Linked DNA regions of Mus musculus. The protein of the gene in region 2 purifies or fractionates together with the protein of the main gene of each other region. This does not show direct contact. Links are inferred from orthologs where the notes say so. Each region holds a gene or a part of one and is shown on either strand. Other genes may lie near its edges. The genes, in order: Capzb and Cnot7.

What was found.
Region 1: the proteins of Cnot7 (region 2) and Capzb purify together in Homo sapiens (co-immunoprecipitation; 3 studies listed by BioGRID and IntAct, with this or other methods). This does not show direct contact. The link is inferred for Mus musculus from reciprocal best matches to the Homo sapiens genes CNOT7 and CAPZB.

The regions. Positions count from the first base shown.
Region 1 is NC_000070.6:139,250,604-139,266,808, reverse strand, and holds part of Capzb (F-actin-capping protein subunit beta), read right to left. Parts: intron 9,549-16,205; coding exon 9,427-9,548; intron 4,826-9,426; coding exon 4,712-4,825; intron 1-4,711. UniProt on the Homo sapiens protein: F-actin-capping proteins bind in a Ca(2+)-independent manner to the fast growing ends of actin filaments (barbed end) thereby blocking the exchange of subunits at these ends.
Region 2 is NC_000074.6:40,488,056-40,504,260, forward strand, and holds the end of Cnot7 (CCR4-NOT transcription complex subunit 7), read right to left. Parts: intron 14,273-16,205; coding exon of another isoform or gene 14,234-14,272; exon of another isoform or gene 13,137-14,233; intron 12,859-13,136; coding exon 12,697-12,858; intron 11,385-12,696; coding exon 11,240-11,384; intron 7,861-11,239; coding exon 7,750-7,860; exon of another isoform or gene 7,641-7,749; intron 6,061-7,640; coding exon 5,932-6,060; 3' UTR 4,483-5,931; downstream 1-4,482. UniProt on the Homo sapiens protein: Has 3'-5' poly(A) exoribonuclease activity for synthetic poly(A) RNA substrate. Its function seems to be partially redundant with that of CNOT8.

The DNA.
Region 1 (16,205 bases), on a different chromosome or scaffold from region 2:
AGTTCAAAGGCAGTCAGGCAGTGCCCCAGCCTGGCTCCCCGGTGCTACTTGCCCCTGTGCACCTTGAGGACTGCTAGCCCTTCATCCCTAATTGGGAAATGTTCACAAGCCCACATGTGTGCTAAATCCCCATGGGAGATATAAGCCAGAGGGCCTGCAAGGCAGCCACCCTGGCCCCAGCCGCCACTCCGCCCAGACGGACTCCATGTGCGGGTGATTACCTCCAATTCCCTACAAAGTCAAAGTCTTTACAGACTCGGGATCAAAGCTGGGGCCTGAAGATAGAATCTAGTCTCTCCTTGGCTCTCATGGCAGAGAACCATCAGGGAGGCATTGAGCCCTCCCCATCTCTGAGTGAGTTGGTCTGGGCTGAGGCTGTCCAGCACAGTTCCTGCCCACTCCTTCCCTCGGCTTCGAAGGAGAGCTTCTAGGAGTGAAGACAAGGTGACAGGCTCAGGCAGTGACCGTGACCATCTGCACAGTGTTGATGCTGTTCACATGGGCTCACGGGCAGCAAGCCATGGCAGCTCGGCCCCTTATTCTGTTTGGAATGCACTGAGACTCCTGATGAGTTGGTCCGCTGTGGCCTTCCCAGGATTAGAGGCTCCCGAGGTTCAGAGATGGCCCTGTGTTCCTCATATGCTAGGCAGAAGTCCAGGGCTCTCCACAAGGACCCTGCAAGTTCCTCATATGCTAGGAAGGTGGGCGAAAGCTTGGATATAGGGCAAGCCTGACCTCTACTCTATACCTTGCCATGATCCAAGAATTCTGAACTACAGGGACTGTCACAAGCTGAAGACAGTCTGCTTTCCCACGCCCCACCCAGGGCACGGCGGCTTCAGTTACTCAGCTTTCCTGGGAATAGCATGGGCCTGGCCAGCTCGGAGGTGCCAGACATTCGACTGTTCCTTTTCCTTCAGGAAAGATCTGTGTAGTTCCAGTGGCCCTGAAGCCAGCCTGCTTCCTAGACTCTCATGGGGACAGTGTAGCACTGGGTGGGTGTCTCCTCCCAGAGGGGCCTGTGCATTTGCTCCGTCTACCAACATGGAGAAAAGGCAAGCGCAGGCGCCTCAGGGGGCTTCACACTCCACTCATGGGGGACAGCCAAGTCTTCCTATGGCATAGGCCAAAGGTAGGAAGGAGCAGCTCCGAGGAGAGTGAGGCATGGCCTGCCACCCCTGTCCCCCGGCAACAATGTGAAAACCCCTCAGTGCCACACAAAAGTTGCCTAGACACCCAAAACCTCTGCTCCACAGCCCTGGCAGGAAGGGCTCTGGCTCCAGGGCCATCGACAAGCACACAAACAACACCCAGAGGCTGAGAACTGGGGGTGCGTGAACTAAGGTACTTAAAAAAATGAGAAAAAGATTTTTTTTCTTAATATTTGCCCCAGAAATGGGGTGGCTCAATTTCACATAAGTCCTCCTAGATGTTCTTGGGAAATTCCTTAGCCTCTGATGACAATGGATGGTGGAACCCACGTTGACAATCCCCAAACTTTCCCTCCAGTGAGCTTTGGGGAGAAGCTGCTCTCACTGTACCCAGCCAGGCAGGGGACCTCCCTGGTCTCTAAGAGACCCGGAATTGGCCCTCTCCTCTGGCTCAGCAGCAGAGTTGGAGCCCTGGGCACCTGGAGCAGGAAGAGTCCATCTTGTTTCCTTCTTTAGAACCCTTAATAAGTGACAGAAGAGATGCCCGCCATAATGGCCTGGTGTACGCCAGGAGAGAAGCAGAGACAGAGGAGCAGAGTCCTGAGCAATGTGCTCTGTATCTAGACCTGGCCTTCACTGGCAGCCCAAGGCAATGCGTCAGAACCACTTCACTGAGGAAGAGACACCATGTGTTTATGCCAGTGACTACTCAGAACCACCCTTGCCACCAATTTAAACAGCCTTGAAGATCTCGATGAGGCTGGGTGGTCTCCGCGGACTCTGCAGGAGCACTTGAGGCAGCTCAGCTCCGCACATGTGGAGACCCAACACACATTTCAGAGAGGCACTGCTCACTCCCATCTGACACTTGAGGAGGGCTGTCTTTCCAGAAAGTTCTAAGGTATCTGTGAGAAACTGTCAAAGCTATGGAAGGCTATGAGATATGATAGGCTTTCAAGTCTGCTTCTGATTTCTGAGACAAGGTGTGTGCACATCCAGGGTGGCAGTCTGGGGACACTGGTGCCACAGCTCCTCTGCCCACCTAGACTTTGGACATTAGTCTTCAGTTCTAGAGTCGCCTCGTGGAAAGGCAGCGAGCGTGTCACCACCTTCCCGGCCCCTGCCTGCTCGCTGACTTCCTTACGTGTTTGCTGCTTGTTCTTCTCCCATCCTGCTGCTGCACACATGCACACCTATGAGCAAAGGACTGTCGGGTGCCAATGTGCCTGGTTAGCTTTGACCAACTTGACACAGCCACCTGGGAGAGGAGCTGCTTCCATCAGCCTGGCCTGTGGGCAAGTCTGTGGGGGCATCTTCTTGATTAATGATTTATGTGGAAGTGGTGTGAGGACCCAGGCCATTGTGGGCAGTGCCACCCTTCAGAAGATATCCTGGCTTATATAAGAAAGTTAACTGAGCAAGCCACAAAAATAGAGCCAGTAAGCAGCGATCCACTATGGTCTCTTCCTCTGCCCTCAATGTTTAACTACAACCCATAAGATAGACAAACCTGTCCCTCCCCACGTTGGCTTTAGTCAGTGTTCCATCACAGCAACAGAAAACAAAGGAGAACGGGATGATATTGTCCCCCTAGTTTGGCCATGTTCTGGCTAGTGAACTTGGCTAAGTTTCTTTGTACTTCTGAGCATGTCAGCTCATTTCTGTAGGGGGCCACACTCATGGTCACAGCTTAGTGACTTATTACCACTGTCTGATTCTCAATGTGGCTACAACACCAAATCTGACTCCGCCTGGACACCCGGGCTGAAGAACTCACTTCTTTGAAGCTCTTTTTATGGCGAGGTGAAATCAGAGAGTGAAACTATAGATGAAGGCAGAGCAGGCTTTTAGCACCACTGGGACGAGAGATCCCCAAAGGGGCAAAACAGGAGATGTGAGACCTTAGACACAAAACCTCATTTTAACTGGGAGGGTAACAGTTGTAACAAATGTCAAGCAAAAGGAGATCTGAATCCCGGCTCTCCATCTCTGCATCCCCGCAAGGGGACCTTTGTAACGTTTCCTTAAAAGGCACCAGATGTAAAACCTCACCACGTAGGACACTGAGACAGAGATGCTATGCAGACAAGTGTGTGTGTGTGTGTGGGGGGGCACTGAAATGCTCAGGACCACATGCTGATGACGTCTTGGTGACTGTCTGTCTGTCTGACTGAGGAGGAGCCTCTTCCTCCCAAATGTGTCACAGCAACCTGATGCAAATGGAAAGACTAGCCCACAGTCCACAGTTGGGAGCCTTCTCCCCTAAGGTCACTGTTCAAATTTGCTGTTCCTCTCATTTCAATTTTCATGCCTCTAGACCAGGATTGAACCAAGTAGAGATGCAAGATCAAATCCCATCTCAGGGCTCAAGAGATGAGTTTTACATCTCGTAAGGCCACATACAAAAAGGCTAAACCAAGCTCAGCCTTCTGCCCTGTGCAAGCCTAATCAGGTCACTAGCTGGCACCTCTTGGGAGTGTGCCAACCCTCATCCCAGACGGGGGATTTGTACTGACTTTGTACTACTATATATCTAGCACAGAACTTAATTGAAAATGAGATTCTATTGATTAAGCACAGCCTTCTCTGGAGCCCGATCTCAAAGGCGGCGCAGCTGAATGGCCTGGCGTTGGTGGGCCAGGGTGGTGTGCAAAAATTAAGATCACAAAGGAGCTGAAACAGGCACACTGGATTATGTTCACGGAGATGCAAGCATGGGGACCGGAGTTTCGATCCCTGCATACACATGTAAAGAGCTGGGCATGCTGGCAATTGGGCGGGTGGGTATGGGATAAGAAGGACTCTTGGAGCTTGCTAACCAGTGAGGCCTGCCGAACAGAGGAGCCTGCTTCAGCAAGGTGTAGATCAGCAGCAGAGGATGCTTGGCACTGACCTCTGACCTCCTCCACATGCTCATGCATCCACATTCACATGTGCATGCACACACGAACACACACTCATGCCTACATCACACACATGCAACTGAAGGAGAGAAGGGTAAAAAGACTGCGTGAGACCTCAGCTCACTCTGCCCTGGCCACTGGACAGTCTGCATGGGCCCTGAGCTCCAGTCCAAACACAGCTGTAATAGCTAAGAGCTGTGGTGTGTTCTCACACCGATCACAAATTCAGTCAGCCTGAGCTTCACAGACAGACTGTACTTTCACCATGCATTTGTGATTCATCAGCTGTGTTTGAGTCTTAGCTCTGCCCCTGCCCTGGACAAACTCCTTACTCTCTGTATGTGAGGGCTACATTCTGACTGTGTCACTGTGGCATCCAAAGCACCTTACTGTTACTCAAAGAGCAAGGACATGAGACAGTAGAGTGCAAAATACCTGCCCTGTGTTGTACACACAGTAGGCACTCTCCCCACTTACCTGCCACAACTGTCAATGGTAACAGAGTAACATGGTCATGTCTGCATCAGGGAGCTCCAACTTTTAGCAAGCTAGGTGACCAGGCAGCAGAGCGAGGGGAGAGTGCTCAGCCCAGACATCCTCTCATACAAGGTTCTCCCCAGCAAAGCCCCTAGAGCTAGTGTGCAGAGGGTCACTCACAGGTCTCGGTATTGGTCGAAGGCATTGTTGGCCTCTACCTCCAGCTTTCTGAGCCGAGCAGATGGCATGGCCCCATCTTCCAAAGGAGGGTCATACTTGTTACTCCACGGTGACCTGGGAAGAAGGAAGGAGGAGACGGTTCTATGAATCATCCCAGAGACAGTTAGCCCCAGCTCAGCTGCCTGAGGTTCAGGGGCCAAGTCACCAGGAGGCTTTTTGGAGAGTCTTACAAAGCAAAGGTTCAGAAGCCGGCAGACTGACTAATACAGCAAACACCTTAGCTCCAAGCCTCACTTCCTCCGGTGGAAAACAAGGCTACCATTCGCTACTATGTACTATTTCCAGGAACCAACAGAAGGGCAGGAGCCTTGGCCACAAGTCCCAGCGTTTCCCTGATTTCTCTGTGCTCACCAAAGTGGTCAGCTGGTACCCCTCACCTCCCTGATTTGCTGGAGGCTCCTCAGCCCTCAAACAATAAGTATTAAGAAGACGACTATAAGTTACAGAAGCAGGCAGTAAGCCTAGACACTCTGGAAATGGAGTGCCTAGCTCCTTAGGGAACACAGCTGCTTCCCAGTACACTGGGCTAAGCACACACGAAGCCTGGTAAGTCAAGCAAACCCCAAGACCAGCAGCATTTTAAAAACGCTTTTCGCCGTCCCAGGAGAACTTTCAGTCACCGAGGGCAACGAGAGGTCTTTTACAAGGTTTCCTTGTTTGTTCCCAAGGGTGGAGGTCTCAGGCTGCATCTTCAGAAAGACCTAACAAGTGAGGTTAGGGGAGGCTGGAGAGCTCGCTCAGTCGCTGAGAGCACTGCTGTCCTTCCAGAGGACCCAGGATTGATTCCAGCACCCACTTGGCAGCTCCCAACCTGGAGCTCCAGTTCCATGGACCCACCATCCTCTTCTGGTCTCCAGAGGCACTCACATGCAGGCAACACACCCACACACATCAAGTGAAATTTCCAACAAGTGAGGGAGTCTACGGAGGCGGGAGGGGAGATGTGATCAACTGAAGAGAAGCCTTACTTACACCCTTGCGTTGCTACCACAGGGCCGAATACTGCCTTCCCCAGCAATCATTAAGCCTCACACCTTTTCAATCTGGGATTAACATTAAGAGAGGAAAAACATGCTTGCTGTCCCTTGGTCCCCCACTTTGTCCACACAGATATATCTTTCTGGTACCCAGTCTAGCCGTGAGTCACATGAAAGGTGGAAGTGTTTTAGGGGTGGCTCTAGAGGTACAGTGTTCTCAGGGACGGTCCAGGGCGTGTTAGAGGGGGGCCGAGCTGTTGTGTATACTCCCTTGAGGGCTCCAGGATGCAATTCACCTATCCACAGAGAGCAGGGCCTTTTAAAAAATAAATTATTTATTTTATGTATAAGAGTACACTGTCACTGTCTTCAGATACACCAGAAGAGGACATTGGAGCACATTAGAGATGGTTGTGAGCCACTATGTGGTTGCTGGGATTTGAACTCAGGACCTCTGGAAGAGCAGTCAGTGCTCTTAACCACTGAGCCATCTCTCTAGCCTAAGCAGGGCCTTTAGAAACCTGTCCATGTTCAGGTGCCTAGACTCAATTCCCAAACAAAACAAGAAACCTCCGTTCCAAGTTCAAGCCCGCCCACCACTCCCCAACAGAGTTGGGGGGACAACACCCCAAGACCAGCACTAGCTTGAGTCTTTGACAGAGAGGGCCCGTGGGATGTCTGCCTTCATGGGACTCTGACAGACTTTGCAGGGTCTTGCAGACAGGGAGTAAAGTGGAGCTTGGGAGGCAGCGTGTGCTTGTAGTCCTTGCCGTTGTGTGGCAGGTACAGGAGTCAAGTTCAGCCAGAACTATGTAACTAGACCCTATCTCCAAAACACAAATGATGGACAAAGGGAGGAGGCGGCTGAGGACAGGAAGGAAGGAGAGAAACTCAGAGGCTTCTTGCCTCAGATCGCCCAGGCCAGCTGACAGGTGCAGGTGGTCACCACGACTCACAAGTCAGTGAGGTTTGGATCTTTCACTGTGGGACAGTGGGCAAGAACCCCAAACTGTGACCTGGACCCCACCTCCCCATCCCTGCATCTTCTGAGAACCTTCTGGCATACTTGTAAGCAGGGCAAGCCCCCTCTCCACGCCATCTCTTTCACATGGCATGGGAGACCCAGGCAAAGGTGCCTGCTGCCAGGCCCGAGAACCTGAGCTCAATCTCCAGGGCCTACACGGTGGAAGGAAGGACTGATTCCTTCAGGACCTAACCTCTATAAGCGGCAGACACATAGACAGACAGACACACACAAAATGCGGTTTAAAAACAAAGCAATGTGCTAGGACGCAACCACCCATCACCATGCAGATCGGGGCCTGAAGTCTAAGAAGTCTGTAAGTGTGTTACACATTCCTCTTGCCTCACAGACTACAACGGCATTTCAAGACGTTAGGCCTGGAGCCAGGGTAATTGTAGCTAGGGGAAAAATCATAACATTACCCAGAATATTCTTAGTGGAAGGGGCACTCAGAACACATTTAAAAGCTTAAATGGAGGCCATTTGAGAAAAGACAGATGGACAGGAATGCTTGGATTTCAAAAGTCAGGCCTTTCATTTCCCCAGAAGGCTTCTTGTTTCAGCTAACAGGGTTCAAGCAGCGCTGCTGGCAGCGGCCTCACCATAAGGATCTTATTTAAGCGAACGATCAAACACAGGATGGAAATGTGTGGAGAAAATCAGAGGACCTTGAAGTTTCAGATCCAGAAGGGGAGAGGGGAGTCAAGCTTTGTCCTTACTGCCGCTGCTCCCCTGTGAGGCTCCCATCCCCAGAGCCCTCTGGTGTCTGGGGAGTAGGGGTGGGGCCTGCAGGGTGCTCTGGAAGGGCTGAAGCCCTTGAGGGAGGAGTGCACAAGCTGTGCCCTGCCCTGCCCTGCCCTGCCCTGCCTTCCTGCACACAGTTTTCTCACTTTCAGCTTTCAGGTTTAAAAATAAAAAAAGCAGAACCAGCGGCCACTGAGACTGGTCTCAGCAGTATCTTTCCCAGGAAGCCTGAACCGAGCCCACGCACGACTGTGAGGGCTTTCACTGTGCTCATGTGCTCCCTGGCCTGCTCCATGCTTATCACCTTCAAGGAAGTCTCCTCAAGGGTTGCCCTGGTACATGTGCTGGGGACCAGTTCTGTCCTGAGCTGGGGCCTCAGCTTCACAGTGGGGCCCTGCAGTGCTACCCAGATGCCCAGCTCTCAGATCTACCATGTCACACCTGCACGGCACTTCCACACCCACCCAGAAGGCATTTCACATTCCCACTCCAGATTCTTCTTTCCACAGACAGTGCCCACACCTCCCAGCTGTCACTCTGCTTCCAAGCTCTACCCATCAGTACTCAGTCTCTCCACTAATTTCAGTCCCATGCTCAGGTGTGTCATTCCCTAACTAACCTATGGAGTAGGAGGGGCCATCACCACCACTAGTTTTCTTTCTCTTCGTTTCAAACCAAGGACAAGCTCTGTGCCACCCCATACTTGAGGTGGAGCTTCAAGGCTCCCATTGTGCTGGCCCCGCTGTGCTTCTGACCTTTCTTTTACCTTCACAGCCTCCTGGATACCTGCGAGCGAGCTTGCCTCCACCCAGGGCCGGGGACCCAGGAAGCTCCTAACCTGTGCAGACTCAACAACTCATTCTAGAGCACAGTTGTGATCTAGAAGGCCCCACTGGCTACCCACCCTGCCTCTCCCCTCTTGCTCTGTTCTCTTTAGCAATATGTTTGTAATCTCCATCACTGATGCACGTGCCTAACGTTACTAGCCGTTCGAATTCCTCACAAAACAGACTCCAGGAACAGAGCTGGGAGCAGTGCCTGCCACACAGGTAGCACTCAGGATGCTTGTGCAGGCTTTGCTGGCTGAACGATCACTACTGTTTCTATTTTGTAGACCAGAGATGACAAGGGACTGTCAAAGTCTCCATGTCCCTAGGAGGAGCAGGGCTGGTTTACAGCCCACACTGCTCTTCCTGGTCACTGTCCCTGTGTCTCCAAAACCCTCTCAAAAAGAACACTGGTAGTGTGGCCTCTAATAAGCCCAGACCCAGTGTGCTCATCCCCAGGGAAAGCCTGGAACGGTCTGGGATTCTCACACTTGGAAGTTTGAAGAGCGATGATCCCAAGTATGTTGGTCCATGTCTCTAATCCCAGCACTCAGGAGACAGGCACGAGGACTTCTGTGAGTTTGAGGTCAGCCTGGTCTACATAGGGAGTTCCAGGCCAGCAAGGGATATATTTTGAGACCATCTCAAAACAGTTCATTAAAAACATCTAAGCCAGGACCATCTCCCCGGAGCATAGATTCTTCTCAGCTCCCCTAAGGCCACCAGCCAGCTCTGAACTGGCTGTGTGCATCACAGTACAGCTGCTCATCAGCTACTGCCTGTGTTTTCCCGTGCAGGGACCAATGTCAAGTTGGCCACATGGTAATAGCAAAGGAAGGGAGAAGGGAAGGAAGGAAGGACAGACATGCCACCCTATCGGGGCAGTTGGCCCTGAAACAACACGGCTCTTCCATTGGACTGTAAGGCACCAAGGCCCTCTCTCCGAAGCTCAAGGGAGGCGCCTACACAGCCTGTTAGTGGATCAGATGGACAGCTGAGAAGAGGAGAGAGAAGGACAAACAGACGTGTGGGTGGGCTACACGTGCCCCATGCTATGAGGTGAGCCTGTGTGTGAGAGCTCACCTATAGGAGTCCCCGTCTCTGTTGTAGTCACACAAAAGGTAATCCTTGCCCACCACCTTGTCTCTGGCAATTTTCAGGGGCTGGTCAACAGATGACAGGAGATCTTCACACAGACTGGGGACCTGGCAGAAAGAGAGGACAGGGAGAAATGTCATTAAAGTAACAACTCCAATTCAGCTCCAGGTTAACATCTGGCTTGTAGTGCTCTGCCAAAATTTGGAATCTGTCTGCTCCTCTCCACATATGCCCAACCACGGCTCTCTGTAAAGGAACCTGGTCGTGCGTTGTTGTGGGACGTGATTTCCGAGGCAGCCTTCTTTCCAAACCCGGGTGTGGCTTTAATTACCTGGCCACCAGGGTGGTCTTTGAGTATGAGGGGGTGTGTGCTGGGTATTGGTCTCTGGTGGACAAAATACCAGCTCAGGCTCTGAGAAGAAGGCAAACACTTCAAATATACAGGAATGTGAAGAACTCAAAGAAGAACGGGGCTCTGGAGAACTCCGCAGACTCCCATGCTGGGTGGAGTTTCCAGCTCTTTCCAGGCCTCTGGCTAAGCGATACCAGGTTGTCCATAGGTGGCTGTATATACTACAGAGGTGGATCCAGGCTGTCCATAGGTGGTTGTATATACTATAGAGGTGGATCCAGGCTGTCCATAGGTGGTTGTATATACTACAGAGGTGGATCCAGGCTGTCCATAGGTGGCTATATATACTACAGAAGTGGATCCAGGCTGTCCATAGCCGGATGTATATACTACAGAGGTGGATCCAGGCTGTCCATAGCCGGCTGTATATACTACAGAGGTGGATCCAGGCTGTCCATAGCCGGCTGTATATACTACAGAGGTAGATGTCCATATGCTTTCTACAGCAGAGTAATCAGCTCACCTGCAGCTTTACCTGGTCTGTATAGCAGAAGGTGCCGGGAAAACAGCTTGTGGCCCAGGTGGGCTAGAACAAGTCACAATTCCCAAACCCGGGTGTGGCTTTGAGGAAGCAGGCCAGGGCTGCCTCCTCCCAACACAAACATCAGTCTCCATGAAAACATTCCAGGAAGGGATGGCAGCCCTTGCATAAGTGGATGCCTTTCTGTTCGAGTCACTTCTACACTGTTTCCACATCCTGACTTTCTCATCTCAGGGCCTGGGTTTACAGGGACCCCTGCTTCATCTTTTACCAGACAAGGGGCTGCTAACAGAGGGGGCCATGCAGCGCAGGTCCTGTGTCCCTCCCAAAAGCCAGAACTACTAGGACAACCAGGTTCTGATGCTGCATGCTACTGTCTTAGGGCACATCACAGCCTACCATACAAAGTGCCTCTTGCTCCATTGGATGGTCCAACTCTTATACATACACCGCTCCCCAAGGAGAAGCATATACCTCCAGCCAAAGCACGACATGCTTGTTTTCAGAACATGGTTCACGCGCACCTGTGCATTCACCCAACCAACAGGCAAGGTCATTTTCAAAGTTAGCTTTGGTGACATCTCTCTCTATCACCTCTAAGTGCCTGTTTGGATGTTGAACCAGGTATCACAAAGCATGCTTTTTACCTAAGTGCTCCTACCAGGGCACAAAATGGGAAGCTGTTACCTTAATTTACAGATTACAGAGTTAAGACCCAGAATCATTAAGCTGTCCAAGGGTCACACCAACAGCCAGCAGTGAATAGAGAAATCCAACCCTAGGCTAGGTGACTCCCAAACTCCTTCACCCTGTCACTCTGGTCCCTAAGGACAGCGAGCAGTAACGGTACAAAGCTCCTCCCAGCCCCCACTGCAGCTTAGTTATAGCTAGAGCCCTCCACCTGGGACACCCTAGTTGTAGAAGCAAAGTTTCACGGCTTCCATGAGGCAGCCAGGCATGAGGCACTGGCTGAATTTTATGGGCGCGGTGAAATGACCCTGGCACCTTCATGCTGCCCTTCGTGCTGTGGCCTGCCACTAAGAACCCACCTGTGCTACTGGGCTGCTGCTGGGGTCTCCTTACAGATTGTCAAGTCCTGTCTTGAGCCTCCTAGTCCTCTTTGTCTGTCCTCACTGTCTGGGTAGCAATGCTGCCCTCTTCTTCTTCTTTTTTTTCTTAAAAGATTTATTTATTTGTTATATGTAAATACACTGTCGCTGTCTTCAGAGACCCCAGAAGAGGGCATCAGATCTCATTACAGATGGTTGTGAGCCACCATGTGGTTGCTGGAATTTGAACTCAGGACCTTCAGAAGAGCAGTCAGTGCTCTTAACGCTGAGCCATTTCTCTGGCCCCGCTGCCCTTCTCTGTATCTCAATACACCTTGCTGCTTCAGACAGCGGATGCTGAAGGATGCTTGGGAAGACAGATCTCCTTTAGCAGCCAGGCTGGCAAGACGATGCGAGCTGCAAGGAAAGAGGCTCCATTCCTAGCTGGCACAGGAATGTACGTTTGTAATCCTGGCTGTTTAGGAGGCTGAGGGAGAAGAAGGATTTAAGACCATGAATTCCACATCAGTATGACCAGGCCTGGTGGCACAGTCCTAAATATTTGGGAGGCTGAAGCAGGAGGATCCTAAGTTCAAAGACTGGCTGGGTTGTACAGTGAGTTTCAAGCCTACTTGAGTAACTTAAGACCTTGTGTTATGAGAAAACAGACATCCGGGAAGATAGTTCAGTGGTAGAGTGCTTGCCTACTGCACATGAGGTCCTCAATTCAATTCTCAGTGTCTCAAGTTACCAGCAAAACGAACAAATAACACCACTACCAAACCAAAGCCCCAAGCCCAGCCTGAAGAGTCACAGTAATGACAGAAGGACAGAACCAGGCAAACTATGCCAGAGACTAGCCACCCCTAAAGAGCTAATCCCAGACTTCTGCAAGCCCACGCCTCCAAACAACCACAGAAGAACATACACTCAACTGAGCCCTTACCATGGCAGCACACAGTGGAAAACTATGGAGATCGTGCAGGACATAGGATGTGCCCGAGCACACAAGTACCTAGGATGGGTCACAGACAGCTAGTTGGCTCTGCCTGCTCAGGTCCCTAAAAGACAAGTTCTTAAGTTGGGCCATATTTTCAAGTTCTGTTTGCATCAATCCCTCTTCTGATAAAAGACAACCTAGTCTAGAATGACACTGTGCTGTCACTGGAAACAAGTACAGACTATACAGTGTGGCTATACAGTGTGGGAGCAGCTGCCCTAGGCACATGGGGTGTGCGCATGCACATGCGTGTACATTCGTGTACCATGTGTCAGTCCTGCCCCTCATCCTGTCCTCTATCCACCTTCTCAACACTGGACTACTAGCCATCTCCTCTACATGCTAGTTTGTATAAAAACCCTCCCCATTGAGAGTTGGTGCAGAAACTATAGGCTGCTGAGTTAAACTGAATTTTGAGTCACAAGGAAGACGGTTCCAGTTTGACCACCCCTCTAATGTTACACAGGATAGCTGTTTTTAGTTGTTCAATCTAACACTCTGCCATATTCCCCGAGTCTCCTTCAGACCTGTCCCTGACTCCCACTTCTCTCCAGGCATCGTGGAGTTCCACCAATGGACAGCAGAGGACCCTGATTGCTCCTGAACTGGCTGTCCTAATACCAGCAGAGACTCGGGAGACTGTGCCCAGGGAGCCATGAGGGGACCCCAGTCAAGCACCATGTCCCATCAGCTGCTGAGGGTCTCAATCTATGCTTGGGTCCCATGGGAGCAGGCATTGAGGTCTTTTGCCTGAGAGCATGCTGGAAAACAATGGCTCTGTGAGCCAGTCAGTTATCTAAATCTGCGCCTCAGCTCTTCCTGCCCCTGGCTGTGCCACACTCTCGGGGTGTCAGAATCTGCAGTGATCAATGAGCTGAATGACCAGGTCCAAACACCTGAGTCTACTCCGTGCTCCAGCACTGTGAGGAGCAGAGCCAGCATAGACTGTGTTTGGCTGCGCTCCACACTGCCTACGTGACCTACCCCCATCAGCTTTTGTGTGGAACGTCCATCTAACAGCAATGGTGCTGGCCAAACCGGGCTGCTGAGGGTTCAACTTAATTTCCAGTGACTTGGAATAGTAACGCTATACGTCTGTTGGGACAGGCCCTGCCTCCGCCCTGGGCATTCTCACCTGGGTTTGGGTTCAGTCCAAGCACAGCAAAGGCAGCTTTAATGGGAGGCAGGACAGGCACATGTCTGTAGTCCAAACTACCCAGGAGGCTGACTCAGAAGGATCATTTGACTCCACTGAGTTCAAGACCCACAGAGACAACATGGAAAAAACCAGACAACAGTGACGATAAACCATAGAAAAGACGAGTTCTGTCACCATGGGTTCCAATCTATTGCCATCACTCCTTTATCCCCAGGACAGGTTTTCACAGAGACTATTTTTTTCTTTAAGACTATATTCATTCACTCACGCACTCACTCACCCACCCACCCACTCACTCATTCATTTTTTAAGAAAGTGCCCGTGCCATAGTGCAGACACTGAGGTCAGACACCACTTGTGGGAGTTGGTTCTCTCCTTCCACTACGTGGAACCTGGGAATCAAACTCAGGTCTTCAGTCTCGGTGGCAACGCTTTTATGCACTGAGCCATCCTGGTGGCCCAGAGACCTCTACTTTAAAGAAGAGGCACACGGGGCCTGAGAAACAAGCTGACCCAAGTCACACAAGCCAGCGTCTAAGGAAGGGACAGGGACACAGTTCAGCTCGGTTGAGAGGTAAATTGCAGCACTGCTCTTGCCCAAATGGCGTGTTTTCCTACTATCTAACCCAACAGCTGATCGCATGAAAGCGGACACAAATCAGAAGCTTCCGGCCACAGGCAAGGCCGTGTGCGCTGTCATATGGTTCCACTTTGCCTCTTCCTCTTCTCCATTAGTTATTAATGTTGAAAAAAATTGTTCAACCAGAAAAAGAAACTTGAGATGAACCCTTAAAAAAAAAAAAAAGGCACAAAAGCTGGAGTGGTTCAGCTCTCCGGATAATCTAATTCCCGGCGCCCTCGCCTTTCAGAAGTGAACCTTTGGACCTTGATTTTTTTTAAAAAAATGGCCAAATGAACACATTCCATCTTTTGATCTGCCTGCTGGCTGGGAGCCCGCCACCGGAGAGATAAGGATCGAAAGCAGACCCTGTCCACTCGGGTGCACATGCACATGAGTGATGGGGAGCCCGTGGCTGGGGAGCGTCCTGGCTTGCCCCACTCCAGACGAAAGGGTTGGGTGCCAGAGACCTCGATGGCCAGCAGGGGGCTCTGCTTACAACCCGATTCTTCTGTTCTCCCAAGGCCCTGAAGTTATGCTTTTAAGAACTGAAACAATGAAAGCAGCAAGAGTGTCCTAGAGGTGCACATGCCAGCGCTGGAACACAGCACACAACGAGAAATCAGACACAGGTCCCAACTCTGCTCTGCCTCTGTCAGGCTCCTAACCTAGGAACTGGTTTGGAACCATGGAAGAGACTAGAGACAGGAAGACGCACACTAGCAGGACATCTCCAGACTGCCAGAGCAGGAAAGAAACCTGAAGACACTAGGTGAGGCTGGGGCAAGGGGGCCAGCACAAGAATGACAGGAATGGTAAGGAAAACAGGAGGGGGCACCACACAGCTCTGCAGCTAGCAGCCCTGCAAGGCACACAGCAAGACCCAGAAGGCCAAGAAAGCAAGCTGTCCCAACCCAGCTGAGCTGGGAGGACAGGGGAGGAAGGGGACTGAACAGCAGTGTCTGTGTTTACCCACTACCCACTGAGCAGGGCCTGCTCTCTGTGCCCAATCCCAGCACACATAACAGGGTGTGGTCCCAGCTCCTCCAGGCCCCACCTCAGGCCTTCACAGAACATCAGATTCCTAAGCAGAAAGACATACTATAAACCTCATTTGAATACCCTGCCCTGTAGGGTCCTTACTAATACCATTATATGTACCTGTCAAGCGTACCCTTCCCAACTTCAAAATGCTAAGTGAGCCACGAACCTGGCTTTGAGACAGCTGGCAAGATAGTCTTGCTCCTAGATGGCTGCCATAGTGGGCTAGTACTCTGGTGACTGAGGGCCCAGAGCAAATGGAGACGACATGCCCAGCACTGATGCAGAGCTCTGGACAAGCCATGGAGATCCGGCTCCTTATAACAGAAATGAATGGATCAGGACGGGCTTACGTTTTCCAAGGCTGGTAAGTTACACTCATGGTGCACCTTAGTGATTCTGGCTCGGGGAGAGGGGGTGTGGCCCCACACCCTTTTGTCTATCTTCGGGCTCCACCAGCACAGGCAATCGGGAAGCTCTGGCTCAGTTTTAGACCTTGACCATTTCATGGCCAAGGATTAGATAACTTTATCTCTACAGTCACCCAGGACAGGGTTCTCAAAAGCTCACTGCACGCACTCTGTATAAAGCAGTTTCTGTGAGTTACAGACTGTGGAGGCCCTGCCCCTCACCAAGTACAAACTGCACATGCCGAGGGCCAGGAGGGAGTGTCACAGTCACACCAGCTTTTCCCAGTTCCAAGTTCAAATCAGACCCGTTCATCAACGCCAGTGCTAAGCAGCTAGCACCTAATCACTACAAAGCAAACAGGGCCTCATGTAGCCCAGGTCCGCCTCAAACTTCCTATGTAGCCAAGGAGAACTCCGAACATGTGCACCTCGTGCTTCTTTGTCCTGAATTCTGATTATGGGCATGCAGCATAACACCCAACCCAAGACTTTATGCACACTAACCAACTAACCAGGTAAGTACTCTGACCTTCCTTTGACACATGCTCACTATATAGCCTTGGCTGTCTTGGAACTCTGTGACTAGGCTGCCT
Region 2 (16,205 bases):
AGTTTGAGGCCGGCCTGGTCTACACAGCTGTAGAGGGGCAAATATAACTCTATGCAGGTTAAAAGGCTTGAAGTGAACACCCTTAGGCAAGTGAAGAAGACAGGGATGAGCCCCCAGTGGCTGTAGGGTCAACTAAGGCTCAGGCAGAGAGCACGGGAGTGTTTACTGGTTTTATATGTAGGTATGCCTGTGATGGTCTTGTAAGACAGCAGCTTACTGTAGGACAACTTATTTGCTTTTATGCTACTGAACATTTTAACATATTCAGATCATAATAGAATTTGAGAGTGACTGCAGTTTGGCCAACCTGGGCTTGTGTTCCCTATCATCAAAATTCATTCAAAATATTAATCTAGAATGAGATTTTACTTATTTCTGAATTTTTTTCCTTCCCACAGATACATAAATTACTACCAAACGTCTGCTTCAAGCATGATTTTACTTATGCCATATTAATCATTTTTAAAAGTCATTTGAGAGATCCCATTAATCTTTCTTTGGTTTCTTTTTTTAAACATGCCACCTCATTTTTTAATCATTTTTACAATAGACTAAGAAGAAGCTCTTTAATGGTTAAGTGCTCAGCCGTACCGAAGACATGTAGATCACTTCCAAAACTCAGTGAATATCACAGAAAAGGAGTTGGGAAGAACGTAAGCTGGAATATAGGGCAAAGAGCTGCAAAATACTGTATCTTTTGGACATGATACAGCCATTCCAATCATGACTTCACAGCAGCTAGAAAGAGCCTTTAATATCTTTTAATTTTTAGGGGTGTGTGCGTGCTCATGTGTGTGTGCGCGCGCACATGCTTGTGAAAACCATGTGTGCCCTCTGTGAAGGGAAGAGGGCACCTTGGACTTACCCAAGACTGGGTGTGTCTACAGCTAATCATAGGGGCTCCCTACAGAACTACTGCGACTGATGGATTCTAGCAAGATGGGCAGTCAATGACTTTGGCTTTACTCACTGGGCATCCTATCAGGCTCATGGATAGTTCCTGACCCATGGTTACACAAACAGCCCTGATTACACTGGCCACAAAACAAAACAACATAAATGAGCAAAAAAGACTGGCTGGGAGGAAGGAGCAGGATGTGAACAAGAGAGGAGAAAGGGCAGGAGATGAGAATGATCAGAAGGCAGTAAGTTACTAAATTGTCAAAGGACATTTTAGAAACATTTATTTCTTTTACATTTTTAAGTATTTTCTCCTGTTTGTCTATGTTCACCACATGTATGCCTGCCGTCTTCAGACATTAGAAGAATGCTCTTCTGTTCAACCCCCGAGAACTGGAGTTGCAGATGACAGTGAACCACCATGGAGATGCTCAGAAATAAAGCCAGGTCTTCTGTAAGAGCAACAAGTGTGCTCAACCAATGAGCCGTCTCTCTCCAGTCCCAGTCAAAGAACAAATTTGATAACAGCTCTAAAAAAAAAATAAGAACTATAAAAACTCCATTGAAATTAAATGGATTTTGAAATACAATTTTTATTGCACTTTGCATCAAAATAAAGTGAAGAACTGAAGAAAAACATTTCCAATGAGAATTTATAAAGAATATACATTTAATTTGTATGACTTAATTCTATCTATCTATCTATCTATCTAGGTTTTCAAGACAGGGTTTGAATTCACAGAGGTCCACTTGCCTCTGCCTCCTAAATGCTGGGATTAAAGGCATTTGCCACCACCACCACCTGGATGTTTTTAAAATTATTTTTATTGTATGAAGGTTTTAGCTATGTGTATGTCTGTTTGCCCATGTGTCCCTGGTCCCTGTGGAGATCAGAAGAGGTTATCAGATGCCCTGGGACAGTTACACACGTTTGGGAACAACTGTGTGGGGGCTGGGAGTAGAACCTGGGTCCTATTCAAGAACAGCCAGTGCTCTTAACCACTGAACCATCTCTCAGACCTTTAATATCTTTTAATTTTTTTAGGCACATGCATATGTGTGTGCGTGTGGTGTGCACACGCAGTCACCATGCCATCTGTGAAAGTAAGAGGGTCTCTTTAAAGAGCTGTTCTTACCTTTCATCTTGAAGCAGGGTCTCTTTTGTTTCTGCTGCTACTGCTGCTCCATACTCACTCCAAGGCTATCCTTGAGCTCTTCTGCAGGTTCAGTGCTGGGATTGCAAATGCACACTTTGGATCCAGCTCTTTATATGGACTCCAGAAGTTAAACTCGAGTTATCAGACTAATAGTTTTACTCACTGAGCCATTTCTGCCAGCCCTCATTTAAACTTTAATAGCACCTAGAGTACGGAACAACTTGGAAGGCTTCTGATTTAAAGGATTCGTCTTTGCTGAAAACTAACGCAGTAAAGGTATTGTTTTGCTTTGTAATTTTAAGGCAAACTTGTTAAGGAACTCTGCCAAACTTATAATAAAAGCTGATAGCCAAAGTCACTGCCCCAGTAGTTGACTGAGGACAAGTTCTCATTCAGAAAAATTGCTCTTAACCCTAAATTTAAAAATTACAACAAAAATCCCAGTGTGGTCATGCATATCTTTCATCCCTGAACTCAGAAGATAGGAGGGAGGGGGGATCTCTTTGAGTACATAGTGAGTTTGAGGACAGCCATAATTACATACTCAAACTTTGGGCTTTTGGGTTGTTGTTTTTCCTTCAGACAGATTTTCTGTGTAGACTTGGCTCTTCTGGATTTCACTCTGTAGACCAGGCTAGCATCCAACTCAGAGATACACCTGCCTCTGCCTCCCATGTGTTGGGATTAAAGGCGTGAGCCACCACAGCCTGACTTTTTTTTTTTTTTTTTTGAGACCCTGTCTTCAAAAAAAGAAAGGAATAAAAGTGTCTTAGGGTTTCTGTTCCTGCACAAACATCATGACCAAGAAGCAAGTTGGGGAGGAAAGGGTTTATTCATCTTACACTTCCATACTGTTGTTCATCACCAAGGAAGTCAGGACTGGAACTCAAGCAGGTCAGGAAGCAGGAGCTGATGCAGAGGCCATGGAGAGATGTTCTTTACTGATTTGCTTCCCCTGGCTTGCTCAGCCTGCTCTCTTATAGAACCCAAGACTCCCAGCCCAGAGATGGTCCCACCCACAAGGGGCCTTTCCCCTTGATCACTAATTGAGAAAATACCCCACAGCTGGATCTCATGGAGGCATTTCCCCAACTGAAGGTCCTTTCTCTGCGATAACCCCTTCACTTATGGATACTGAAATTGGAATTTCATATAATTTACATGTTAGGACATGTTCTGCACACAGTCTAACCATTTAAAAAATGGTTTTTAAATTCTCAGTTTGCAAGACACAAAAGTACAGCAGATTGCCTTATAGACCAGTTCAACCTTTCTTCTGTAAAGACTGGTGATTCCAGATGACTGGATCAAATGTATTCAAAGCTGAGATTTTAGTAAGGTTTTAACAGTCCTGAGCAAAAGTGACTTCTAGAGAAGAAAGCCAAATTGATACAAATCAGGAAACTCAGCAACAGATGCGGAACAAGCAGTTCCAGTTTCTGAGAGGAAGGTGAAAAAGAAACCATAGAACACTGCTTCATCTTGGATTTTCAAAATAAGTCACAGTAAGGTTGTGCTAAGTATACTTAGTTTGTAAGTCTTAAAAAAGCAAAAGACAGAGATTCCCTTCTATCCTTTCTGGAGGTTAAAGGGGATTGAAGCCAGGGTTTTCTACTCTTATCAAACTCAAGATCCTCCTTGGATCTCCCCAATGCTAGGTGTTCCTGGGGAGATAAAATTAGTCCTCTTCCTAGGGTTCCAAGGACAAACCATGGCCCACCTTCACTCTGAGGAAACACTGAGTTTGTGGAGTTTCCTTACAGAGCATAATGTGAGGGTTACCAGCAATGGTATGGATACTCCTTTCAACAGTTGTAATTAGAAAGTCTTTACCAAACAGGGAGGAGGGCTTCTCATTATCTGCATATACTCCTTTCCCCTAATCTTCCAGGTCTCTAACCTCTAGCCTCTCCCAGGACGTGTACAACTAAGGAAAAGCTGCGCAACAGTATAGTGTCTGGATACTCAAGTGAGGCTATTTTGGCCTTCTCCATCCTGCCTAAACGGGATGTAATCAGATAAAGACCAGCATGGAAAAATCCTTTTGCAAGGGAGTGCAGCTGAACACACCAAGACAGTGGAAATTGACTCAGGACAGTCACTCACAACAGCAGGATTACGGATGTGAGCTTCTACACCCAGAGACTTCTAATTTCTTTCAGTCAGGTAATTAACAAAGGGCAAGGAAAGGAATACAGTTGATACAAAGGGGTCAGAGTGCCAGGCTTTATGGCCCAGGCTCTGGGCTGGAGAACTGATTTATGGATCAGCTGGCCTTACTGCAACTTTGAACACTAATAAAAACTAAACCAATCTTTTGAGAACACACACACCACCTAGTGAAGTCCTGTTACCCAAAGAAAATGGCTCAAGTATTCAACACTTCTAAATAAGAGCCCCAAAACCAAAGCCATCAGTCACAACCATATAGGAAAACATTTTTGAAGCCTTTATTTACAAAAGCTTTAAAAACAAATAATACCCTCTGTTTTGCAAATAATGTTTAGTTTAAAAAGGACCGCCCAGGTACAGCATTTTCATATCATGTTTACAGAATGTACAAGGGAAACGAACTATGTTGCTAACAGTTGGAGACTTGCTAATATCGATTGAAGTGTAGATAACACACATTACAACTTGTAGTCCATCACTTCAGGGTAGAGTTAATGTTCACCAAAATCTTCCAACACATGCTCTGGTCTGGTCACATATTCTGCATGGCTAAATATTTCACAGTCTCTTGTCAATATATATAAAATAGATTGCAAAGATATACACAAAAAAATAAACAAGCATTACACTCCTCAGGTAATTTTATTAGCTATATATGTGTGTATTTATATATATTTTTTGCATTTTGTTGTTTTGCACCAAATCTCTCCATTATTTATTTTTGTAGCATTTATGAAATCACATTTATTTTGTATTTTTATTGATATAAAATGTACCTTAAGACTTGTTATCTTTGGACTTTAATGAAATTGATTTGTGTAGTTAACAAATCAAGAACATCATAAATATGTTTATAAAATAAAACAGTAAGGGTAAAAGTGATGGAGTAAAAGGAAGCCGATCAAGGGAGGCGGTGCTGTCATAAAACTGGAGCTCCAACATCTTAATGGCCAGCCTTCTGGCAGAGAGGAGATAGCCAATCACAGGGCTTCTTCCTGAAGGGTGTAAAGCTGGTTTGAAATTCTTCAGTCACATAGCAGCCTATGCATGCCAATTAGAAACCAACAGACATGAGATGTGCTTGGAAGGCTAAACACTACACACAGAAACAGTAGTTACTAGGCTCTTCAGTAGTTCCTTGTCTTTTTCTGTTATTCCTGTTGAACAATTTGCACAATGCACGTGCTGTACTCTGAATGTCAAAAACAAGCAAATACTGTAAAAAGGTGGTAGATGGTTATTTTTCTAGCTAAGAGCAAGAAAAATCACAATTTCTGATAAAATAGAGGATTGAAATCACTCTCTAAAGTGCAAACTTGATGGTCCACAATCTTAAATACCTATAAGTACTGCAGAATAGAAGGAGAGGCATGGAAGAGGGAAATAAATTACACTCAATGCTAGTTAATTTAGGAAAAGGGAAAAACAAAACCAAGCTCAAGTAGGCAAAGTTTATCAAATTATTCAGTAATGTAGCTTTGTCACACAAGCTTGATAAGAAGTGTATTAAATTAAGGCCAGATTTAACCTGAATGTACTTTAATTTATTAAGATCATAGCTAAGAAAGGCCATACTTATTACTGAAAGCAGAGAAGGTCTACAAAAGGGGGGGGGTATTGCCTATTATTTAAGGGATGATAAAACCTATATACAAGCATGTGTGTAACTCGTATAAAATAAAAATAAGAAGACTATTTCCTGTCATGACTGCTTGCTGGCTTCCTCTTCATATGCATTCCCTGTGCCGTTCTGTACATAGGATGAGCCAGAACCAAGGCCATATAAGTGACCACAGTATTTGGCATCATCAATGTGATCTTCAAAGAACATCTAAAAAGAAAATTTTGAAAGAAAAAAAAATCATCTTAAGCAAATGATACAACCTGTAGTTTACATCTCAACACTGTAATTGCTACTAACTCTTTCTGTGATGTTCCTTTGAGAAGCTATGCTGCATATTTAATAAATAAGACTGACTGATGCCCTTAACTACAGGCCTAAAGGACACGTTCTAAAAAGCAAAAATATTTTTCGTTAACATTTACCTCATTTTAATAAGAACTTATGAGCATAAAAAACATGGCAGACATTTTCATTTCTTTAACATAACAAACTTCACAGAATATGAGAAGTAATGTCGAGAAGGGGAGGAGACATTATACCATCTTAGGTTGTCTTAAGTCTAGGTGCAAGGGTGAACTGACTAAAATTAACAAAATCCTAAGCATGGTATAGACAGTAAACCTTAACACTCTCACTACATCACTGTCCTTGAAGAAGACAATAAAAAGGAAAATAAGGATAACAAACTGGTGCCAGAATTCCACCACTGACTAGCCATAAGACATTTTAAAATAAAAATCCAGCTAGGCAGTGGTGGTGCACGCCTTTAATCCCAGCACTCAGGAGGCAGAGGCAGGTGGATTTCTGAGTTCGAGGCCAGCCTGGTCTACAAACTGAGTTCCAGGACAGCCAAGACTAAACAGAGAAACCCTGTCTCAAAAAAACTAAAAAAAAAAAAAAAATCCAAAAGGTGGTCCTATACTGAAACTAAGTTAGTTACGTGAGTGGACAATTCAAATAACTTCTGAATCAATACTACCTGGCAAAACAAGTCAAATGCGTTCTGTCAATAGCATGTTTTTACCAAGAGAATATACTCAAAATAATTCCACAGCAACTATTTCATAAAAATGTGTTTCTGTAGGCACATTTTATATATATATTTGTACCATTTATACCAAACTAAAATAGGACACACACACACAGTGTACCAAAAATAGAATACATGTGTGTGTGTGTGTGTGTGTATATATGTGTGTGTGTGTGTGTGTGTGTGTGGGTATACAATTAAAATTTGTTTATTATTATCAGCAATGAAGTAACCACGACATCTATCACCTAGTTATCTATCCTAAAAACACTCAGTTCCACTACATATCATCCTTCTACTCCTAACAATTTTATACTTGAATTCCTGATAGTTTTGACTCAACTATATGTCAGACTTCAGATTTAATTAATACCTATATATTCAAAAAGCCTTTAAGACTTAGTAAAAACTGTTAAGTTCTACTTTATAAAACCTTTAAAGCAATGAAGAATGACATGAGCAAATCTATTTTCGCCACCAGTTTCTAGAAAAAGAAGGTACGACTCCCTGGCTCGTATGGGGTCTAAGAAAGTTGAGTTCCCTCACTATTACCTTTTTAGCTTAAAAAACAGCATGTTCATATGTACATGATCTCTACAATCACCTAATTTTTTATTCTATAAACAACATATTTCAGTAGAATAAATAATGTTTTTTTATTCTATAAAGAGTTTATTCTATTTCCTTTTGCGTTACATTTCAGGAGGACTTATTTAACATTTTCATTCAAATGTGGTGGATGTAACTTATATAGTACCTCTATTTATATCTTCACTTAGTAGGTTCTTAATGCCCAAAACTTTTGTCATCAGACCTTTAATGTTCTCTACCTAACAACCAAGAAAAAGGCACTGATGTCTTCATACTTCTCTCATTTTGAAAAAGGCCATTCCTGTAAGCAGTGAGTCAGATCCTGCCTGGTGCTGAGGGCCTATGCGCTCCAGCTCTAACTGCTCAGCAACTTCCTGTAATCCACCCTAGAAGGAAGAAAAGTTGCTTGTCAAATAGAGAGGACTTTGGGACTGGAATTCACAATTACAGATTTAGACACTGACAAAAATATGAATACATTTTTAATATGTAAAGATGAACCTTGTAAAGATGGCAAGGGGATTGATAAAATATGAATCTGTAATTTATCTGTGGACTATAAAAGCCTTTTTTTACCAGAATATGAAATTCTAATAGGAAAATTTTATTTTAATTATACATCTTAAGGCAAGTTAAGCATGCCTTAACAACTTTCCAGAGATATGAAGGAAGTAGATCATATTCAGGGTAACAGTAATAAACCATACTCAGTGTCATTAAAAATATCTGCATCCCCTAAAGTATTTAAAACTTAGTAAAACAAAGACAACATGAGTGTTCAGACCACTGTCATTGTCAATCTACCACATAATTTCCATTTTCTCAACTAAAAAGAGAATTTTACAAATATACAACTCTTTTAGAATGGTTGCTCTGATCTGCTTATATTACTATAGCTATGACTGAGAAAAATAACGAGTGTCAAAGGAAAAGAGAAGAAATAGACAGACACAGAACAGACTACCAATCAACTTCCTCCTTAAAATACAAAGCCTTTACTATCCTGTAGTCACATCCTAGCCTGACAGGACTCCTGCCAGCAACGGTTTCTAACATTGTGTGCACCATGCATCCTTGGCAGCTGCTTAGAACACAGCAGCAGACTAGATATGAATGACTGGTAGCACCTTATTGCTAACATACACTTTTAATGTGAGCAGCTCACATAGCACTCAATAAAATATTTGATATTTTTAGATATTTCTGAATATATAGAAGAATAAAAAATTAGGACTCTGTTTCTGAAAACTATCATTATACCAAGCTGTCAATTAAAAAAACAAAATACAGCCGGGCATGGTGGCGCACGCCTTTAATCCCAGCACTCAGGAGGCAGAGGCAGGCGGATTTCTGAGTTCGAGGCCAGCCTGGTCTACAAAGTAAGTTCCAGGACAGCCAGGGCTATACAGAGAAACCCTGTCTTGAAAAACCAAAAATAAATAAATAAATAAAAGAAACCCTGTCTTGAAAAACCAAAAATAAATAAATAAATAACCAAAACAAAACAAAACAAAACAAAACCAAAAACTTCCAGAGCCAGCCAGGTGGGAGCCTTAGATTCTCAGCATGCCACTCATCAGTGTAAGTAGTCAGAATACTCTGCTGGAGTTCACTTATGAGGAAACCTCAAATGACACAGGATTCTGTGACTTTCAACTGACAGTCATGAGATAATCTTTCAAGAAGTTCTCCTAGTTATTTGGCACCACACCTACAACAGTGACAAATTACTTCTGTCCTACAATTCTCAGTAAATTGTTGAAACTAAAGCTTCCACATTATAATTCCTCTATTCTTGCTTAAGAAAAACTATTAAATTCCTTACTGTTTCCTAAAGCAAAGCTCTGTCTGTATTTTTCTAAAACCTAGATAGGGAAAACTTGGCCAACCTTGGTTTTACTGAAGACAGGGACAATATTGGCTACACATACACTTGTTTCCTTAGTTATAACTTAACATATCACACCAAAATCCAGCAACTAAAAACCCACTCAGTGTATTGCCAGGGATCTGTGCCAACTCAGGGGAATTTGCTCTTGAGCCAAAGTAGTACTTTTCTTTAATCAGGAAATGTTTGTTTTGATAAAATTAATGTCCAAAGGTTAAAAATACATGGCTACATATGTTCAGTATTATCAGAATAAGCTACTGTCTATATAGAACCTACACATTTACTATATAGTATTTATGCCTAACCAGTTTTAGCTACGAAAATAACAACATCATACTTTAACAAGAAAGAATAAAGGAGAGTCTCTAGTCAGGATAATCTGAAGGAAAACCACCTTAGAACACTACTGAGTGTCTCTGCCCCCTGCTGGCCAACCCCAATCTGTATGCTTGTGATAGTTCTGTGTGCTGGGAGTATGAGAACCTCTGTAATACAGGGCTCTGTCAGTGTACACCTCACACTTTCATTTCAGTTGATGACCCTCAATCTGGCATCAATAACAAAAACATGGCCCTTAGCTTGGCTTTTGTTAAAAATTTATTCTGGGGACTAAAGAGTTGGCTCAGCAGCTAAGAGCACAGCTGTTGTGGAGGACCAAATTTCAGTTTCTAGCACCCACTAGGTGGCTCACAAGTACCCATAACTCCAGTTCCAGAGGGTCTGACACTCTCTCTTTTAGCCTCTGCTACCTCTTGCTGTAAACTTCCACAGAAGTGAGTGAGAGTGTGTGTATCTTAAATATATATATATTTTTAAAAGATTTATTTTATTATTATATGTAAGTACACTGTAGCTGTCTTCAGACACACCAGAAGAGGGAGTCAGATCTTATTACGGATGGTTGTGAGCCACCATGTGGTTGCTGGGATTTGAACTCTGGACCTTCGGAAGAGCAGTCGGGTGCTCTTACCCACTGAGCCATCTCACCAGCCCTCTTAAATATATTTAATGCAATTAATATATCAACATTATTCTGGGCTGGAAAAATGGCTCAGCAGGTAAGATAACTTGGTTGGAAAGATAGCTCAGCAGGTAAGAGCACTTGCTGTTTTTGCAGAGGACACAGGCTCAGCCCCAACACAGCATGGTGGTTCACAACCATCCATAACTATAATCTAGGAGATGGGATGCCCTCTTCTAACCTCCTCAGACAGCAGGCACACATTTAGTGCATATACACATGCAAGTAAAATACCCACATACATAAAATACAATTTAAAGTATCTACAACAAGACAAAAATCCAACCAAGGAAAACACAAAACCAAAACAAACCTTATCCTGTTAAGATAAATACCGCAGCTTTGAAGAGAGATTGTTTATTAAGAATAGGATCAGATAATTTAACTAACTTTTTTCTTTTTTTTGGAGACAGGGTTTTTCTGTGTAGCCCTGGCTGTCCTGGAACTTATTCTGTAGACCGGGCCAGCCTTGAACTCAGAAATCTGACTGCCTCTGCCTCCTAAGTGCTGGGATTAAAGGCATGCACCACCACTGCCCGGCTTAACATAACTTCTAAAACATGGTTTAAAACATTCAGGCCTAAGATATTATAGAAATTACTTGGTCTAAATTGTGCTTCTCAACCTTCCTAATGCTGCATCCTTTAATACAGCTTTGTTGTGGTGAACCCCAACCATAAAACTATTTTTATCGCTTCTTAACTATGATTTTTCTGTTATGAATCATAATATAAATATTTGTGTTTTCCAATGGTCATAATTGATCCCTGTGAAAGGGTTGTTCAACTTCCAGGTTGAGACTCATTGGGCTAACTAATGTGCTAGTTCCGGATAAAGTCATCTGAAGCCTTACTTTGAGATTTTTGCAGCTCTTCATGAGGTACTTCACATCATAAATGACAGGAAAAAATAACCGAAGGATCTCAAAGAAATCAAGTTCTTCCTCAGGCAAGTTAGAGTTGGTCAGAATTTTGATTAAATAGCCAAAGTCATAACCACTAATAAAAAGATTAAAATAATTCAGAAAAAAATACATTAATACCATACAATGAAAGAAATTAGTTTTTCAGATAGAAAGTTAAACAAGTCATACTATAGGCAAAAGGATTAACAATAACGTACACACAGGAACAATGAAAAGAAACACGTCCATAACTACAGTGCAGAAACTGATCACTCAGCATCTTGAACACATGATAGTATAAATTTAACTCTACAGTCACTAAAATAACATTTTTCTGATATGTAAGCTGGAGAGATGATGTTCAAACATGAGTATTTTTGACCCCCAATACCCAAGTAAAAGCTGAGTGTTTTATGTCAACCACACAGACATGCAAGTGCACACCCCAAAAGATAGGTTCAGTAAGGTCACTGCCACAGTGAATGGGAAGGTATGTGAAAATGTAATAAACCAGCAAGACTTAACATGCCAAAGGCAAAAATCATGTAAAACCTTGTCACCATTTACATGAGATGGTGACACTTTCCAATTTCGAAGAATAAATCCCTAACAGAGTATTTCATTTCCACTAAGTGACTTAATTAAGATGTACATTTCCTCAAATGTTTCTATGTCAGTATAACTCTCCGAGACAGTTGTCAATGGAAAAGTTAAATGTGACAGGAACTAAGGAAAAGTAAGAACTGGTTTTTTATACAATACAACCCCCTGCTCCCTCAAACTGACGTCACACATCCTTTATCACGAGTCTTCCCACAGCGGCCTAACTCCTTCCCCTCCTGAAGTCCTCCTGTGAAGGGCCTGTGCCAGCCTTCCCTGAAGCCCAACCCCAGACATCTCCGTACAACAAGCGTTTGCTGGTGCTGACCTTTAGGTTCATGAGTTTCCTCCACTGGGTTAAAGGAGAGGAATTATAGCTATAAAGTATCTTTTTCTTACCTATAATTTAAACTCATTATTTGGCAAATGACCTTACTGAGCCTATCTTTTGGAGGACAAACAAAATCAACTTTTATTTGATGTTTATTATTTTACTTGTAATTTGAAGGAGGAGAAGTTTTACCATAGAAGATCTTTGGTACACGCACCCAAGAGCAGGTATGTGTGGTTTTGGTTTTGTTAAAAGATCCACAGCACTGTTCTCAGTGAGGTACTAGACAGACTCACGGCAGCTAATTCCTTCTAGAGCTAAGCACAACACTGCTGACACAGTAACCCAGACAGACGTAAAAGGCAGATGGGACAGAAGCACACTGCAACCCCTTATTTATTTATTTATTTATTTATTTATTTATTTATTTATTTATTTATTTATTTATTTATTTATTTATTTATTTATTTTTTACCTGTGAAATGATAGCCATTTGACCCCTTCACAAAGAACCACTCCTGAAGTCATAAGAAGTTCTGCAAAATATTGGGTCTCAATTCCTTCCTCCTCGTGTTTTTTAAACTGGATACCAGATGTTGTTAGTAGCTCTATAGAGTCCTGAGCATACATGTCCTCCCTGGCAGGAGAAAGAAAACGAAAGTTCAAAATTCCCATTAAACAGTTGTTCTCCACTTATGCCTACAACTACAATGCAGAAACAAGACAGAGGATTGGTTTATGTCCAACCATTCAAATGCTTCACAATGATCAAGAAAAATAAAATATGAGGTATCCAAAAAGTAAATAATCATTCAAAAAGTCCAATGGTGAGTTCACCCTTAACACCAACTCAATTTCATCAGCTTCTAAACATTACATACATTTCACTGGGCTTAAAAAGGGTCTTTTACTCACCAGAGGCTACCACAGACATGTTCTTTTCAGTCTCTGCAGCTATTTTAGTGCTGCCAGATGGAGCTGTAACCACAGCCATGAGGGGTTATGCACACCTCTCATGCTCTCAGCAGAACCAGGAAGGAGACACCAAGTGGCCAACATCTCTTGTGGCTGAGTTAAACTACATTCCATCTTAAAGAAAAAGGAGATGCCTCCTCTCACAAATGAGGAGCCTTTCAGCGGCTCTAGTTAAGCAGTGAACTGTTCAGATAAAGACTCAGTTATGACATCATTTCTTCTTCAGCAATCACATACCTACATTAGAGGCAAATACAATCCTAGACGACTACCTTAAACCAAGCCAGGAAGCACACTATAAACCAGCTCTTCAAACTTTTACTTAAACCACACAAAAAGCCACCTATAGTTTCTAAGCACAAATACATTAAGTATTATATTAAAAAGTTGAAGATTCATGAAAAAGTATCTTGTGGATTTATCACTTATTTTTATTTACTTTTTAAAAAACCTTAACATTGGTTTCTACCATCAGCAAAAGAAAATTTCTATAAAAGACTTCAATAAAACTAACAAAACCAAAATTAATGTTTGATTTTCATCAGATGTATTTTTGTAGCTTATTCTCTGGAAATCAATTTCAAAGGTCAGTTTAGTTCCCAGACTGTCAGGAACTAAATGACAAAATTAAGAATTGAAGCATCTAAAAACAGAGAGGAGCCACAGTCATCACTTTCAAACATCATGCTTTCTCTTGAAACATCCTGTAGGAAAGATATCAGAATAAATTCAATGCAGGCCCTCCCACTACCCTCGGTTAAATTGTTTGTTATACTAAAAATATGTCCCTTAAATGAGGTCCTTGGGCTCACACTGAAGCTCGTTTAAACACGATTAATCAATCAAGAATACAGTAGACTGTTCTCCAGGCTCATGTTGCTCTTAGCCACATGCTCAAGTTATTTTATTATAGTCAACATTATGTAACCATTACCAAATTAAATAATACATCAATAAGGTAGGATAGTGAGTCTTGGTGCATTTAAGTCATTATTTCCCAAACTTGCCCAATGATAATAATCACCAGGGGAACTTACCAAAAATATGGATTCCCAGGTCCCAATGCAGTCCCAGACCTATTGAATCACAATTCCCAGGTGAGAGACCTGGAGGAGGACCTCGGTATTTTATAATAAAGTAAGGTTGGCAAACAAAGACACATGAACACTCCCTTTCTTTCTCTCTCTTCTGCAAAATTTATATAACTCAGTCTAAGCTTTGTAGAATGAGTCTTTTATAGTAAAGTTTGGTACAGAACTCATACTTTATAATACCCAACTCATAACCTTAATGGTGAGGTCAATCTCTAGAGAGGATGAAGGAAACTTCCTACAGTAAGGTAAATTTGATAGCAATTAGGAGTCTCATTTCCAAATCACTGTACAATCCTTTTCTGATGGTACCAACTTTAGATGTTCTACATTCTGCTTTCTCTACTCTCAAACATTCTAGCAATAAAGGGAAAAATACTAAAACTAACATTAAAAAGTAACTATAACATTGTTTAGTCAAACTGTAAGAATTTCATCTGGTGTTGGCTACTGCCTGTTACATCTATTATTCAGATTTAAGTTAGCAAAGTATATAGTTATGACTAAACATGAGTAAAAAACATGTAAAAATCTCCGAAGATTTTCCAAAAGGCATAGGTACATACGGCTATCTTAGTTAATATCCTAAAGATGCACTATCTACTAACTCAATCATGTAAAAATACCAAATTTCCTATTTTTATAATATGAATAAACCCTATTATAAGAACTCACACTTCTAAACGTGTTCTTATCAACATTAAACTACTTCTTGATCACCTCCCAGATGCCCACCATAGGGTCGATATAGCACCTCCTTCAAATGTCACTTACTTTTATACTAATGGTTAGCCATCTTTAGTTTTTAATAAATTAAATTAATAACAATAGACCTTAATAAACTCAAATAACAGCTCAAAATAAAGTAATAACACAAAAATATATCTAAAATTGCAAAGTCCATGAATGACAAGAAGACAACTAAAAATAGGAAGTATTCTCACAAGTCCAAATAGCAAGCTATTTAAAATAGACTAATTATTTATTCTTTTGATGGATGAAACTGGGCAGAAGTTTCCAATTTGCAAAAGACTATAACTTTCAGAAAACAGTAGCAAGCCGGCCTGCTTGTTTCTTAATATGCACATATGTGCCCAGTTAAAACTTACTGAAATATTCCTTCTGGGAATGAATACATAAAATTTAACAAGGTTTTCATCTTTGGATTTAGATTTCAACTTCCAATAAATTAACCACAAAGTTTCCGAAGAATATACAGATACTCCATGATCAAGGTTATAACCTGATAACCTCATTAGAAGTTAGGACGACAGTAACAAAAGGTGAAAATATTACTACATCACCTAAATGCTTGGCAGCAGAGTGTAATGCAAGCTATCATAGAGAAGAGCAGCCAGCTGGGAGACAGTGCTTCCTACTGCTACCCAACACTGTACAAGAGTATACAGTGCTGCCAAAGAAATGGCACAAAATTCAAAATTTAATGTCTCATCCACTGAATGCATACTACTTCTGTATATAGTCAAAAAGTGTAAGTTGAGCCATCATGAGTCAGGAGCCATGTGAAGGGCTCACTAAAGAACCTAAAGCATAGACCCTAATCATCCAACCACAGCATAGTTAGATATACCACAGTACATTAAGAAAAAGGTCCACTTAGGTGGCAGACAGGCAGATCTCTGAGCTCGAGACCACCCTGGTCTACAAAGCAAGTTCAAGACAACCAGGGCTATGCAAAATAAAACAAAAAACAAACAAACAACAAAAAAAACCAAAACAAAACCCCACAAAAAAAAACCAGAAAAAGGTCAAATAACGGATTACTCAGAACTCTGAATAACAATATCACCAATATCACATATAAATGAGAAATCCTTAATATATACCAAAAATATAATAGTTACACAACAACTAGGAGGAAGTGTTGAGAAACTAGTAAAAGTTGTTTCAACTTTTC